Linked DNA regions of Saccharomyces cerevisiae S288C. Changing the gene in region 2 together with the main gene of any one other region gives a genetic interaction. Each region holds a gene or a part of one and is shown on either strand. Other genes may lie near its edges.

Evidence for each region.
Region 1: mutations in PMT4 (region 2) and GUP1 together harm fitness more than expected from each alone (negative genetic interaction), as found in Saccharomyces cerevisiae (3 studies listed by BioGRID).

The regions. Positions count from the first base shown.
Region 1 is NC_001139.9:348,060-354,007, reverse strand, and holds GUP1 (O-acyltransferase), read left to right. Parts: upstream 1-1,709; coding exon 1,710-3,392; downstream 3,393-5,948. Other genes in the region: SCY1 (Scy1p), read right to left, coding at 1-950; LCL3 (Lcl3p), read right to left, coding at 3,568-4,392; coiled-coil domain-containing protein MAD1, read right to left, coding at 4,640-5,948. UniProt on the Saccharomyces cerevisiae protein: Membrane-bound O-acyltransferase involved in the remodeling of glycosylphosphatidylinositol (GPI) anchors. Acts only on GPI-anchored proteins, but not on free GPI lipids.
Region 2 is NC_001142.9:696,163-702,565, forward strand, and holds PMT4 (dolichyl-phosphate-mannose-protein mannosyltransferase), read right to left. Parts: upstream 4,453-6,403; coding exon 2,164-4,452; downstream 1-2,163. Other genes in the region: IPA1 (putative polyadenylation protein), read left to right, coding at 1-787; YJR142W (uncharacterized protein), read left to right, coding at 979-2,007; MGM101 (Mgm101p), read left to right, coding at 4,720-5,529; 40S ribosomal protein eS4 RPS4A, read right to left, coding at 5,865-6,403. UniProt on the Saccharomyces cerevisiae protein: Protein O-mannosyltransferase involved in O-glycosylation which is essential for cell wall rigidity. Forms a homodimeric complex to transfer mannose from Dol-P-mannose to Ser or Thr residues on proteins.

The DNA.
Region 1 (5,948 bases), on a different chromosome or scaffold from region 2:
AACGTTATGTTATCATATCTGGAATAGATGTCTCTGTTTATTAGCTTGGGTATACAATGCCTCAACTTTTGTGGAACCTTACTGAATATATTATCCCATGACATTGTACTAATTTTGCTTTCAAACTTGTTGTACTCCAATTTATATTCACTAGTCGAATTTTCGCTGCGAAACAAGTCTTTACCAGTGTACAGAAAATATATCAACAATCCTAAAGAAAAATAATCGTTCTTAAAGGTTAGGGTATTCTCAAAAACAATTTCTGGGGCCGTATAATTCAATTGTAAATGCATAAATGGGGGAACTCTGGGATCATATTGAGGTAAGAAGTATTCAGAGGTATTTGTGCCTGGTGGTATTTTTACTAAATAGCCTAAGCCGGAAATTTTCCAATCAGAATTTTCATTGATAAATATTGCCCTAGGTTGAATGTTCAAGTGTACAAAGCTTGCGCGGTTATGAACAAAATCGAGTGCATTTACCAGTTGCAATATACCTCGCTGTACCACGATATTATCTTTAACATGACCTTGTAAGAAATTCTGCTCTTCATCATCGGTTTCTCTGAAAACGGTCTCCAATGAGCTAGTGACAAACTCGGTGACGAACATGAAATTCTTGCTATGTTCTTCTAATGGTTCAATTAAAGTCAGAATATTTGGGTGCTTGAGCTTGGCCAAGTTATTGGCCTGGTTTCTTAATATTTCGTACGCTTCTTGTATTAATACTTTATCTCTGGATCCAGATTTGGATTTAATAATACCATAGTGTAACAAATAGTTTTCGAACTGCTTCTTGTCAAACATGAATATCGATACTTTGGAAGGTGAAGATGAAGATGAAGATTTGGGACGACCGGTGTAAATGCTCCATGGTTCAGCTGTGAAAGTAGGTGATGATGAAAATGAATATTTTGACGTGATACCCGTCTTTGAGGACCAAAACATCATCCCTGCTCAATCAAAGTGTGTCCTATTTTCCTTAATGATACGATATTCGAAGTTACACTGTTTTGAATACTTTTGTGCGCTTTAATATGTGCAAGATTTATTTGTTTTGATATTAACTTCTTTTTGGCTTCTATTTTTTCAAGACTGCAGTACCCTTTTTTTCACGCAACTTCAGGTTCGAACCGAAGAATAGTTTAATTACGTTTAGTTTTCCTACTGAAACTTTTTTTTTAAAAGACCCTGAGAATTTCATCTCGAGAATAATGAAGACCAATATATAAGTAATGAATCATAAAAGTACAAGAGCAGGATCAAAGTTGAATGTCTCAACAACAGGACAAGAAAATGAGTGAAGAAGGAGCATATGTACGGGTGAGCATTTTTCTTGTATAAACATAAACTAGCTGAACATCAGCTCAATCGGACATAAAAATAAGTTTCCAATTAGACATGCACTTGAACTTGTAATTATTTATCGACCAAAAAGAGTAAGTTAATTTTCACATAATCTTGGAAAAGCCAGAAACAAGATTCGAGAGCTGGAGAATGGATGATGAATCAAGCAATGTTGAACAATCAAAATAATATAGGGTGTATAGGTGTTCACGTATTTCTCTTTATGTTTAGTGGGTGTGCCAAAAAGGACACTGAAAGGGTAAGAATAATAACTTAGCATATTGCTTTCGATATATAGATGTTAATCATACAAAGGCAAAAACAAAGCGTGAATCAGCATTTGTTAACAGACAATTGCAAGAAATGTCGCTGATCAGCATCCTGTCTCCCCTAATTACTTCCGAGGGCTTAGATTCAAGAATCAAACCTTCACCAAAAAAGGATGCCTCTACTACCACTAAGCCATCACTATGGAAAACTACTGAGTTCAAATTCTACTACATTGCATTTCTGGTCGTGGTTCCCTTGATGTTCTATGCTGGGTTACAAGCTAGTTCGCCCGAAAATCCAAACTATGCAAGATACGAACGTCTCCTATCTCAAGGTTGGTTATTTGGCAGAAAAGTAGACAATAGTGATTCTCAATATAGGTTTTTCAGGGACAATTTTGCGCTATTGTCAGTTTTAATGCTAGTCCACACTTCTATAAAACGCATTGTACTTTATTCAACAAATATCACTAAATTGAGGTTTGATCTGATATTTGGTTTGATCTTTTTAGTGGCCGCTCATGGTGTCAATTCGATAAGAATTTTAGCCCATATGCTAATTTTATATGCCATCGCCCATGTACTAAAGAACTTTAGAAGAATAGCCACCATCAGCATTTGGATTTATGGTATTTCTACGCTTTTTATTAACGACAACTTCAGAGCATATCCATTTGGTAATATTTGCTCTTTTTTAAGCCCATTGGACCATTGGTATAGAGGTATCATTCCAAGATGGGATGTCTTTTTCAATTTTACTCTTTTGAGAGTCTTAAGTTACAACTTGGACTTCTTAGAGAGGTGGGAGAATTTACAAAAGAAGAAAAGTCCATCCTATGAATCAAAAGAAGCTAAATCAGCCATTTTGCTCAATGAACGTGCTAGATTAACTGCTGCACACCCCATACAGGACTACAGCTTAATGAATTATATTGCATATGTTACTTACACGCCACTTTTCATTGCCGGCCCCATTATAACATTCAATGATTATGTTTACCAATCGAAACATACCTTGCCATCAATAAATTTCAAATTCATTTTTTACTATGCGGTGAGATTCGTTATTGCTCTCTTATCTATGGAGTTCATTTTACACTTTCTCCACGTTGTGGCAATCTCAAAAACCAAAGCGTGGGAAAATGACACACCTTTCCAGATTTCCATGATTGGCTTATTTAATTTGAATATTATTTGGCTAAAACTACTGATTCCGTGGAGGCTGTTTAGGCTGTGGGCTTTGCTAGACGGAATCGATACACCTGAAAATATGATCAGGTGTGTTGATAACAATTACAGTTCACTAGCATTCTGGAGAGCTTGGCATAGAAGCTACAATAAGTGGGTTGTCCGTTACATATATATTCCTCTAGGTGGTTCAAAAAATAGAGTTTTGACATCACTAGCAGTCTTTTCCTTCGTAGCTATATGGCATGACATCGAACTAAAGTTATTATTATGGGGTTGGCTAATAGTTTTGTTCCTCTTACCAGAAATTTTTGCTACCCAAATTTTCTCTCATTATACCGACGCAGTCTGGTACAGACACGTTTGCGCTGTCGGTGCTGTTTTCAACATATGGGTTATGATGATCGCTAATCTTTTTGGATTCTGCTTGGGCTCTGACGGTACTAAAAAATTACTAAGCGATATGTTCTGTACCGTATCTGGTTTCAAATTTGTAATTTTGGCAAGCGTTAGTTTATTCATCGCAGTACAAATAATGTTTGAAATCAGAGAAGAAGAAAAGAGGCACGGAATTTACCTAAAATGCTGAATGCCAAATTTACGAATATCAATTGTATAACACTGCTATCATGTATGTATTTTTATCTACTAGTACAAAAATGAAACCGAAAATAAATAAAAAAATATCGAGAGGAAGCGTGAAAAGCTAATGAACATATAATATGAAAATCTGCAGTATGATGGATAAAAATCCTCTCGAAAACTCAAATACGTTTTTTATATTCACCAGGCGTTTCAAATTTATTCTGGATCCACAGTCCCTTTTTTCTAGATCTTGCCAAAAATTCATAATATCGATACTTATCTTCTCTATCATCAAATTCTGTGTTTACTTTACCCTCATAAACAACCGCTAATCCATCCTTGAGCATTTCTAAGCTTAAGTCTTTCCACCCACCAAACCAGTCCCAGTATGACACTCGAGCTACACAACGGTTGTACTGATCTATAGATAAAGGCTTGACCCATACTTTCTTTCCCAAAATTCGGTTTTGTAACCAAATTAAAGCTTCATTACCAAACGGTTGAGCTGGGTTACCGAAATGTGCTCTTTCTGGGGCATCGATTCCACATAATCTTATAGGAATAGTTGGCAGGTTTTTCCTATTTTTGTAAGGTACATTTAGCTTCAAGAACTGGCTTTTAGCTTTTTGTATTTTACTTTTGGTGGACCTCCCATGCGTAATCCAATTGAAATTGAAAAACCTCATATTTCTGCTATCTCCAACAAGCTTTTCTGCCGTAGAATCATTCTTGATCATTTGTGGGACGGGTCGTAACCATCCCCATCCACCTCTTATACCACCTGGCATGTGAAAGAAATGAAAGTTGTCCCCGTCACCTACAGACGTGACTTTACCATAAAGCCAGTGTTTACGAAATATTCTTCGCGGTATATCATTTGTTCTTTTGAATTGAGTTAAATACCTTTTATATGTGTAGATCAATGTTAAGGTCGAACCCGTAAGGATGATGGAGAGGACAGCAACATCCGCAGATTTTTTTGAATTAGAATCACCTTCCCTCATATAAGTGCATTTATGCCCCCTTAATAGCTATGAAAAACTGGGCTTCTTTTTATATCATGTGTGACTTATTCTGTAATTTGTTTTTATTCTTCAACACAATTTTTTTTTTTTTGCATACCAAAGGAATCATAAAAGGTCAATGATGAAGAAAGATAAAAGAATTTTGTGACCAACAATTATGTCAGCGGATAGGAGTTTATCATATTATAAAACCGATTACTATTATCTATTAGAAATGTATATACACTTATTTGGCTTGTCGCTGTTCCCACAGACGCAATGTTATTGTTGCCAAAAAGCACGGAAGTTGACCTCTATCTTCCACCCATAGATTCATGAGATCATCCCATCCTTCTATATCTGCATCAAGGTTAGATTTCAAAGTGTTTTCATTTAGATCAGCAATCAAATATTTTTCAGGTTTGAAACAGGAAAATATTTTCACACGACTATCTTGTTGAAATTCCAATTTAAAACCTAATAATGAGTTTACAACGTCAATAAACTCCAAAGATTTATTATTGAAAACTTGCTTTAGTCTGGAAAATCTTTTATTTGACTTAAAAACTTCCTGTTCGAACTGTTTCAACTCGAAATTTAGTGAATCATAAACAGAAATGGGTACTGTTTCCACTGCTGGATTATTCTTTTTCAATTCGTTAAGTAAATCTGCATTTTCCTTTTCTAGAAGAAGTAATTTGTTTTTCTTGATAAATTGATCTTTTATGAAGGGGCCGTCACGTAATTGCAGTATACGTATTTTTTTCTCCTTTAGTTTAGTTAACTTTTCTAATTTTTCTTGTAGTAGCTGAATTGTAGTTTGTGCTTTACTCAACTCCCTCGAGACACTTACATTTTCCAGTTGCAATTCGTTGAGCCTCTGTGAATAATTTAAACCAATTTGGTCACTTGTCAACTTCCTCTTTTTTCTTTGTGTTTCTACATCATTGGAATTTGATAATAACTGATCGTTTAGCTTCTTTAGTTCGTTTGTTAAATCTTCTGTCTTATTTTTATAAGTATCGATCAAATTATTCATATCTTCGTTTACGTTCTTGTTTGACGCATGTGTTTCACTATTTTCGACCTCTAGTAAAGCATTATTTTGTGCGGAATATAGGCCATCTAATTGTTCGCGCAGTAATCGACATTCTTCGAAAGATAAACTCTTCTGTTGTTCTAACTCGTGATTTAATCTTTTCAAATTTACTATGTTGTTTTCATAATTCTTGTTCAAATCTAGTATTTGGTTTCTCTCTAAAGCCATTTCATCATTCAGTAGCTTTAAATTGTTATTGTCCAATCTTAACTTATCATTCATATCTGTCAAAATTAAACATTCCTTTTTGGTAAGTTTCCAGTCCCGGATAATCTCTTCAGGGTTATTTCTTATGTTATTTTTGGTTCTGTTGTTATTATTAATATTGTTGTTATTACTTGTATCATTATTATTATCATTATTATTATCATTTTTATTATTATTATTATTATCATTGTTGTTAACATTGTTATCATCATCATCGTCACTATCATTATAAATTTCCCATTTGGTTAAT
Region 2 (6,403 bases):
TTCTATCATGTCGCTTCCAGATGGAAGATGGACTAAAGAAGAGCTTCGCTCAGATTCTGATTTCTCGATAGAATGTCTTAACTGTAAGCAAAAAATTATAAGCAAAGATAACTGTCAAGTTTTGAATGATATGCCTTCAGAGTTTTGGTTCGAGTTAATGGATTATTGGCATTGCCACAAACCCGATGTTAAGGAAGACAAGTCTTCCTACACAAGATTTGAAACGCTAAAACCATCTAAAAACGAAATTTTAATTGGAAGCTCTTATTTTCAAGGCACTCCTGCGACTTTTGAAAATGTAGCGACTACAAAGGAAAATGATAATGTTTTATGCATAAAGTGCTCAGCAGTGTTAGGCCAAGTAACTGCTGGTTCGCTTTATAAACTACACAAATGGAAACTGCAGTTAATACGCAGTGGAAACACATACAAATTTCCTCCAGAATGTGACATTACAATTTCTTTAATAAACGTAGTTAAGGCAAACTCTTGTCGTTACGTACTAGTAAAATGTAAAACGGAATCATTGCTAGTTTGGATATTTTCCGTTGACATTGGAGTCACATTGACGGGAAACAAAAGCTTCAAGAGAGCGATGAAGTTGCTTTACACAAACAGCGTTACCACAATAAATCGATGTCTCAATCGACAAGTCGTCGAGGAATTAGATTTCCAAGAAACATCGTTTAATGCTTTTTACAGCGCCCTTCAACATACTAATGCACTTTTACCCTCAAGCATGAAAAAAATTGGTGAATGGACCATTAGCTATACATCACTAATCTAATTTTAAGAACCATTCTCTTTCAAATTTGTACAAATATTGTCATCAAGTAATAAATAGCTTCTTTTTTTTTTTAACATACAGTTGTAGAATTAACTTCGTTGGCCGAAGAATTGCACAACAATAGCGTTTGTTATATTACTAAATATAGGGGCTTTCTTGGGAACGAAAGTGAAACAAACGCTTTTAATACAATGAAGGTCGAGAAATCATCTAAAGGCTTGGAAGTTTTAGTGAGGACACAGGAGGATGATCTAGAGGGGTTCTCTTTCCTGGAGATTATGGACCGCGTAGACCCTTTACCATTAGACTTCGAGAATTACAAAAATTTCAAAGAGGGCATTTACTATATGTGTACACACGATGGCACAAAGATCGGTTTCGTGTTGAAATTTGCGATAAATGAAATGGAGACTGTTTGCTCGGAAATCTTCGAAGAAACCTTCCAATTAGATGAATCTAGACATGAGTTAAGGTTTAAAAGTGAAGATTTTGATCATAGAAACAATCTAATTGACCAATTGGCTCGTAAAATGTATTTAGAATCATCCTTGAGTGGTGTGAAGGGCTGGAGAAACGAGAAATATGCCGTTTGGGTTAATAAAAAACCCTATGTACTGGTTGAGCGTGCAGTAGCAGGTGTTCTTGGTATAATTACCTACGGGATTCATATTAATGGTTATGTGCTAGATCCAAAGTCAAAAAAAGTTCAGTTTTGGGTTCCAAGAAGATCTAAAACGAAACAAACATGGCCGCTAATGCTTGACAACATTATCGCCGGGGGATTAGGTTATCCTTATGGTATCTATGAAACAGTTTTGAAAGAAAGCATGGAGGAAGCCAATCTAGAAAAGAGTGTTATTGAGGATAACATTAAAGCAACTGGTTCAGTTTCCTACCTTTACTTTACGGGTGATATTTCTGTAACGAAGTTCAATAAGGAATCAGATTTTATCGTAGGGGAAGTACAATATGTATACGATCTAAAACTCAGCGAAGACATCATTCCAAAACCAAACGATGGTGAAGTCGAGAGTTTCAATTTATTCAGCCTGCAAGAGACGATTAATGCTTTAAGAAAAAAAGAGTTCAAACCAAATTGTGCATTGGTAATGGTAGATTTCTTGATTAGACATGGCTACATCACTCCAGAAAATGAGCCCAATTATCTTGAACTAGTAACTAGAATGCACAGAAGGTTACCATTCCCCACCTTGAATTAACATTCAAGAGGTTACCGGTTGATATCTAAACAAATATAAAGAATTTTTTTCATATATACACATCTAGGTACATACTATCTAAGATCAAAAGTACTCTATTTTGTCACTAAACGGAGGAAGGCGTTCAGTTCGTTTGTGGTTAGTGAACAGAAAAAGTTACTTGGAGAAATTTAATTCTATGTCAAACCACTCTCTAGAAACAACTTCCGATGGTGACAAGCTGACATCTCCATACACTAGTGGTGAAAAGTATACAAAAAACCACGCAACAGCACAGGAGACACACACCAAGAAGACGGTATAGGGTTTAACGTAGACCTTAGGGTTCCGTTCATATGATGCACCTGAAATATCCTCGTCTTTCTCCAAATCCAATGATTTGCAATCACTGAAAATTACTTCCCATAGTGCTCCTGAGAATAAGCACGCGATTAAATGAGCTGGTAAGTAATGATGCAAAAACTTTTGACGCGCCATTAAAAAGAATGGAAAATAATGACAGCACCAGGAGACGAAGAAAAACATCAATGGGCCATACAGCTTTTCTCTGGTCATCTTGTTTAGGGCATAATAGCCACGATGTCTAGTAATTAAATCGGCCACGATAATGCCAACAAAAACAGCCAATGATATGACTTGGAACCACCACCCAATGATGTTACCAATGAAATATATTTGCTTCTTTTCGTCACCGTTGGTCCAGAACGAAACACCACTTAAACTACCGGGCCAACTGTAAGGTTCAGAGGCAAATGGATGCTCTGATGATAGTTTATTGTTATGTTCGAACATAGATTTTTGAGTTTCAATCCATTTCTTCAAGAATGGTAATGGCTTAACAACCTTCGGAATATATACCTTCCGAACCTCGTCCAGGTTAACAATTTCATCAACAACCCAGTTATTTGAAGGATCAATAACTTTTTTGTTACCATTAATTTCTTGTTGTTGGAACCCCCAATCCGGTAACAACTCGTCGTTGTGAGTCCACAAAGCTACGGAGGTATCAACGTGGAAAAGACGGAAAGAAACCGTTTTACTCTTTAAAACGTGACCTTCATCTGATTTTTTCAGTGGTTGGAATGCAAAAAGTGTTTCAGGATATAATTCCCCATCACCTTCTTCTAAAGTTACTGTAGTGATTTCTTCATTGGTAGGGTAAAATGGGGAGGCGACATCATGGGCTAACAAGTAGGTATCGGTGGCTACATGTCTCAATCTTATATGCTGGTTCAATAGAACAGCTTGTCCTTTACCGACATCACTGCCATGGGGTGGTAACACTTCCCATTGATTGTTGAAGTCAGGATGCGTGTAACCAGTAACTTGTTGACCAGCGGATGAGATACGACCATCTTCATACCGTTGTGGGTAACGTGCCAAGTGAGAATGTAAGAATGCGTCAGTATCTTGATGTTTGATAGTGATAATATCAAAATAATTGACGGTTTTAGAGTCAACACTTAAGGGAGAGTCCTTAAGTGTTTCTTGAAATTCAGCAGACATAAATGCGTCGCCAGGACCTGAAGTATTCAAAACGGTGAAATGAACCCAGAACCAAAACAAGTAAATCACAAATGGAATCAAAACTAAACCATTCAGCCTTTTACTAAAATGTCTCATGAACTGCCTCAAGGACAAACCCGCCTTGATGTCCAGTAATTGCCATAAGTTGACCACAGCAGCAAAACCAATAGCGGAATATGTCATAACACCAACATATTTTGTGGAAATCACGAAGGATAAAGACAAACCAGTAGCGTGTAACCAAATATACCAACTCCATGTAAAAGGTTGACGCAATTGGCACTTGTAGAAACGAACGTAACAATACATAGTAGCAGCAATAGAAATAATCAAGATGGCATCCAGTAAAATCAGCCTAGTTTCTGTAACATGCGCAGTATCGATTGCAACCAAGAGAGATGCAAACGCACATGTAATAGCCCTGAAATTCAGTTCCTTCAAAGTGTTGAACATAATTGGTACAGTCAATGTGCCCAATATCGCGTTGAAAGAACGGTACGCGATATATGGAGCTGGATGAGTTTCATAAGAATACCCAATCTCATCAAACTTAAAGGAACCATCATAGCCACATAACCAACCAATGAAGGCAATCATCATCTTAGCAAAAGGGGGATGAACGTCAAAGAAATAAGACCTTTCTAAGTAATACGATGCAAATTTCCCGAAATGTACCTCATCAAAAACAACTTCTTTTGGATACCAGATCTTATAAAATCTAGCAGCAAACGCTAATAAGGTAACAATTGTTACCCAAAAGCTATAACGTGATTCCGGTTCCGGTAGTGGCTGCAAGAGCCAATGTTCAGCAACTTGTTCACATTTAGGCGCGGCCTTCGTGTACTTCAACGAAGGATCGTCTACGTCCTTAGTGGAAGGTGGTAACTTCCCATGGTTACGTTTTTTGGGCACAGACATCTGTACTTCTGTGGACTGTCAGAAAATATCTTGGTAAAATATGTATCGACAAACTTCTTAGTACAGTTAATATAGAAGTAAGGATTCGAGTGAGTAGTTTTGATAAAGCGCGTTTCATTATGCATATTTTTCATTTTTTATTTTTTTTGTCAAGAAATACACGAATAACATCACGAAATTTATCGACAGAATAATGGAAGAAACTATTTAAAAAGACGGTAGAGACTAAAAAAGGAAAGAAAGGACAAGTAGGAAGATCAGCGTACGATGAAAAGCATTTTCAAGGTTAGAGGATGTGTATCGCATGCTGCTCAATTTTGCCAAAAAAGAACCGTGGTGAGTACCGGCACTAGTAACACCGCAACAGCCGGTGCAGTGAGGAAAAGTTTCAACAGTACCGAAACCAAGCCTGTATTTGCAACAAAATCGGAAGCTGGCAATGGAAGCCACATGAAGGAATATTCAAGCGGCATTAACTCTAAACTCGGCGGGACCCCTTTGGAAACCCGCAGCACCGCCGATGATTCTTTGAACAATAGTTATAAGCAAGTCAAGGGAGACATTGACTGGTATACTTCATGGTATGGCCTAGGTATGAAGCCCTTTGAAGCAAAAGTGCAAAAGGATCTAATCGAGCCTCTGGACCCTAAGGATATAGAAATCAAGCCAGATGGTTTGATATACTTGCCTGAAATTAAATACCGTAGAATACTGAACAAAGCTTTTGGCGCAGGCGGTTGGGGGCTAGTGCCAAGATCACAAACAATAGTGACATCCAAGCTGGTCACTAGGGAGTACGGTCTTATTTGCCATGGTCAATTGATCAGTGTGGCAAGAGGCGAACAAGACTATTTCAACGAAGCCGGCATACCAACTGCTACAGAAGGTTGCAAAAGTAATGCATTAATGAGGTGTTGCAAAGATCTCGGCGTCGGTTCTGAATTATGGGACCCTGTTTTCATAAAGAAATTCAAAGTGGATCATTGTACTGAGAAGTTTGTGGAACATGTTACCACCAAGAGAAAGAAGAAAATTTGGTTAAGAAAGGACAGACAAGTTGAATATCCTTATAAATAGTCAATATGCGAACCATATAAGCTAATTTTAGTAAGTATATATATTCCAATACAATCACACACACACACACACACACACACACACACACATACGCATATATTGTGGTAGTGCGTAGTGTCAGTACGTCTTATCATACGCCTTCTATTTCAGGGTTAGCGTATTTTTACTATCAATATTACAATACGGATATATATACACACACCTAATATATATATTATACGTTATATTACTGCCAGTCGAAAAAGGAAGATACGATGTATTATTTTAAAATTCAATTTCTAATAAACATTAATGGAGATATACAAAAGAAGAAAATAATTAAGTTGTTATGAAATTTATAAACCTTGTTGAGCTCTTCTTCTGTCACGTTCTTCAGCAATAGACAACTTGATACCCTTACCCTTTGGCAAAGAAATGTAAGGCTTACCTTGTTCACCGATGACGAAGACATTGTTCAATCTAGTGACGAAAGTGTTGTCCAAGGAGTCCTTGATGTGAACTAAATCGAAACCACCATCGTGTCTTTCCTTGTGAACGATAGTACCGATACGACCCAAGTTACGACCACCAGTAACGTAAACCAACTTACCGGCATCGAACTTGATGAAATCAGTAATCTTACCAGAGGCCAAGTCGATCTTAACAGTGTCATTGACCTTGATGTTTGGGTCTGGGTATCTGATAGTTCTACCATCGTGGGTAACAACGTATGGAACACCCTTCTTACCTAATTGAACCTTCTTGACCTTACCCAACTTGTAAGAAGCTTCTTCATCGGTGATACGGTGGACAGCGAATCTACCCTTGACATCGTAGACCAATCTGAAGTTTTCATTGGTGGCATCTAGAGTGATGACATCCATGAAACCAGCTG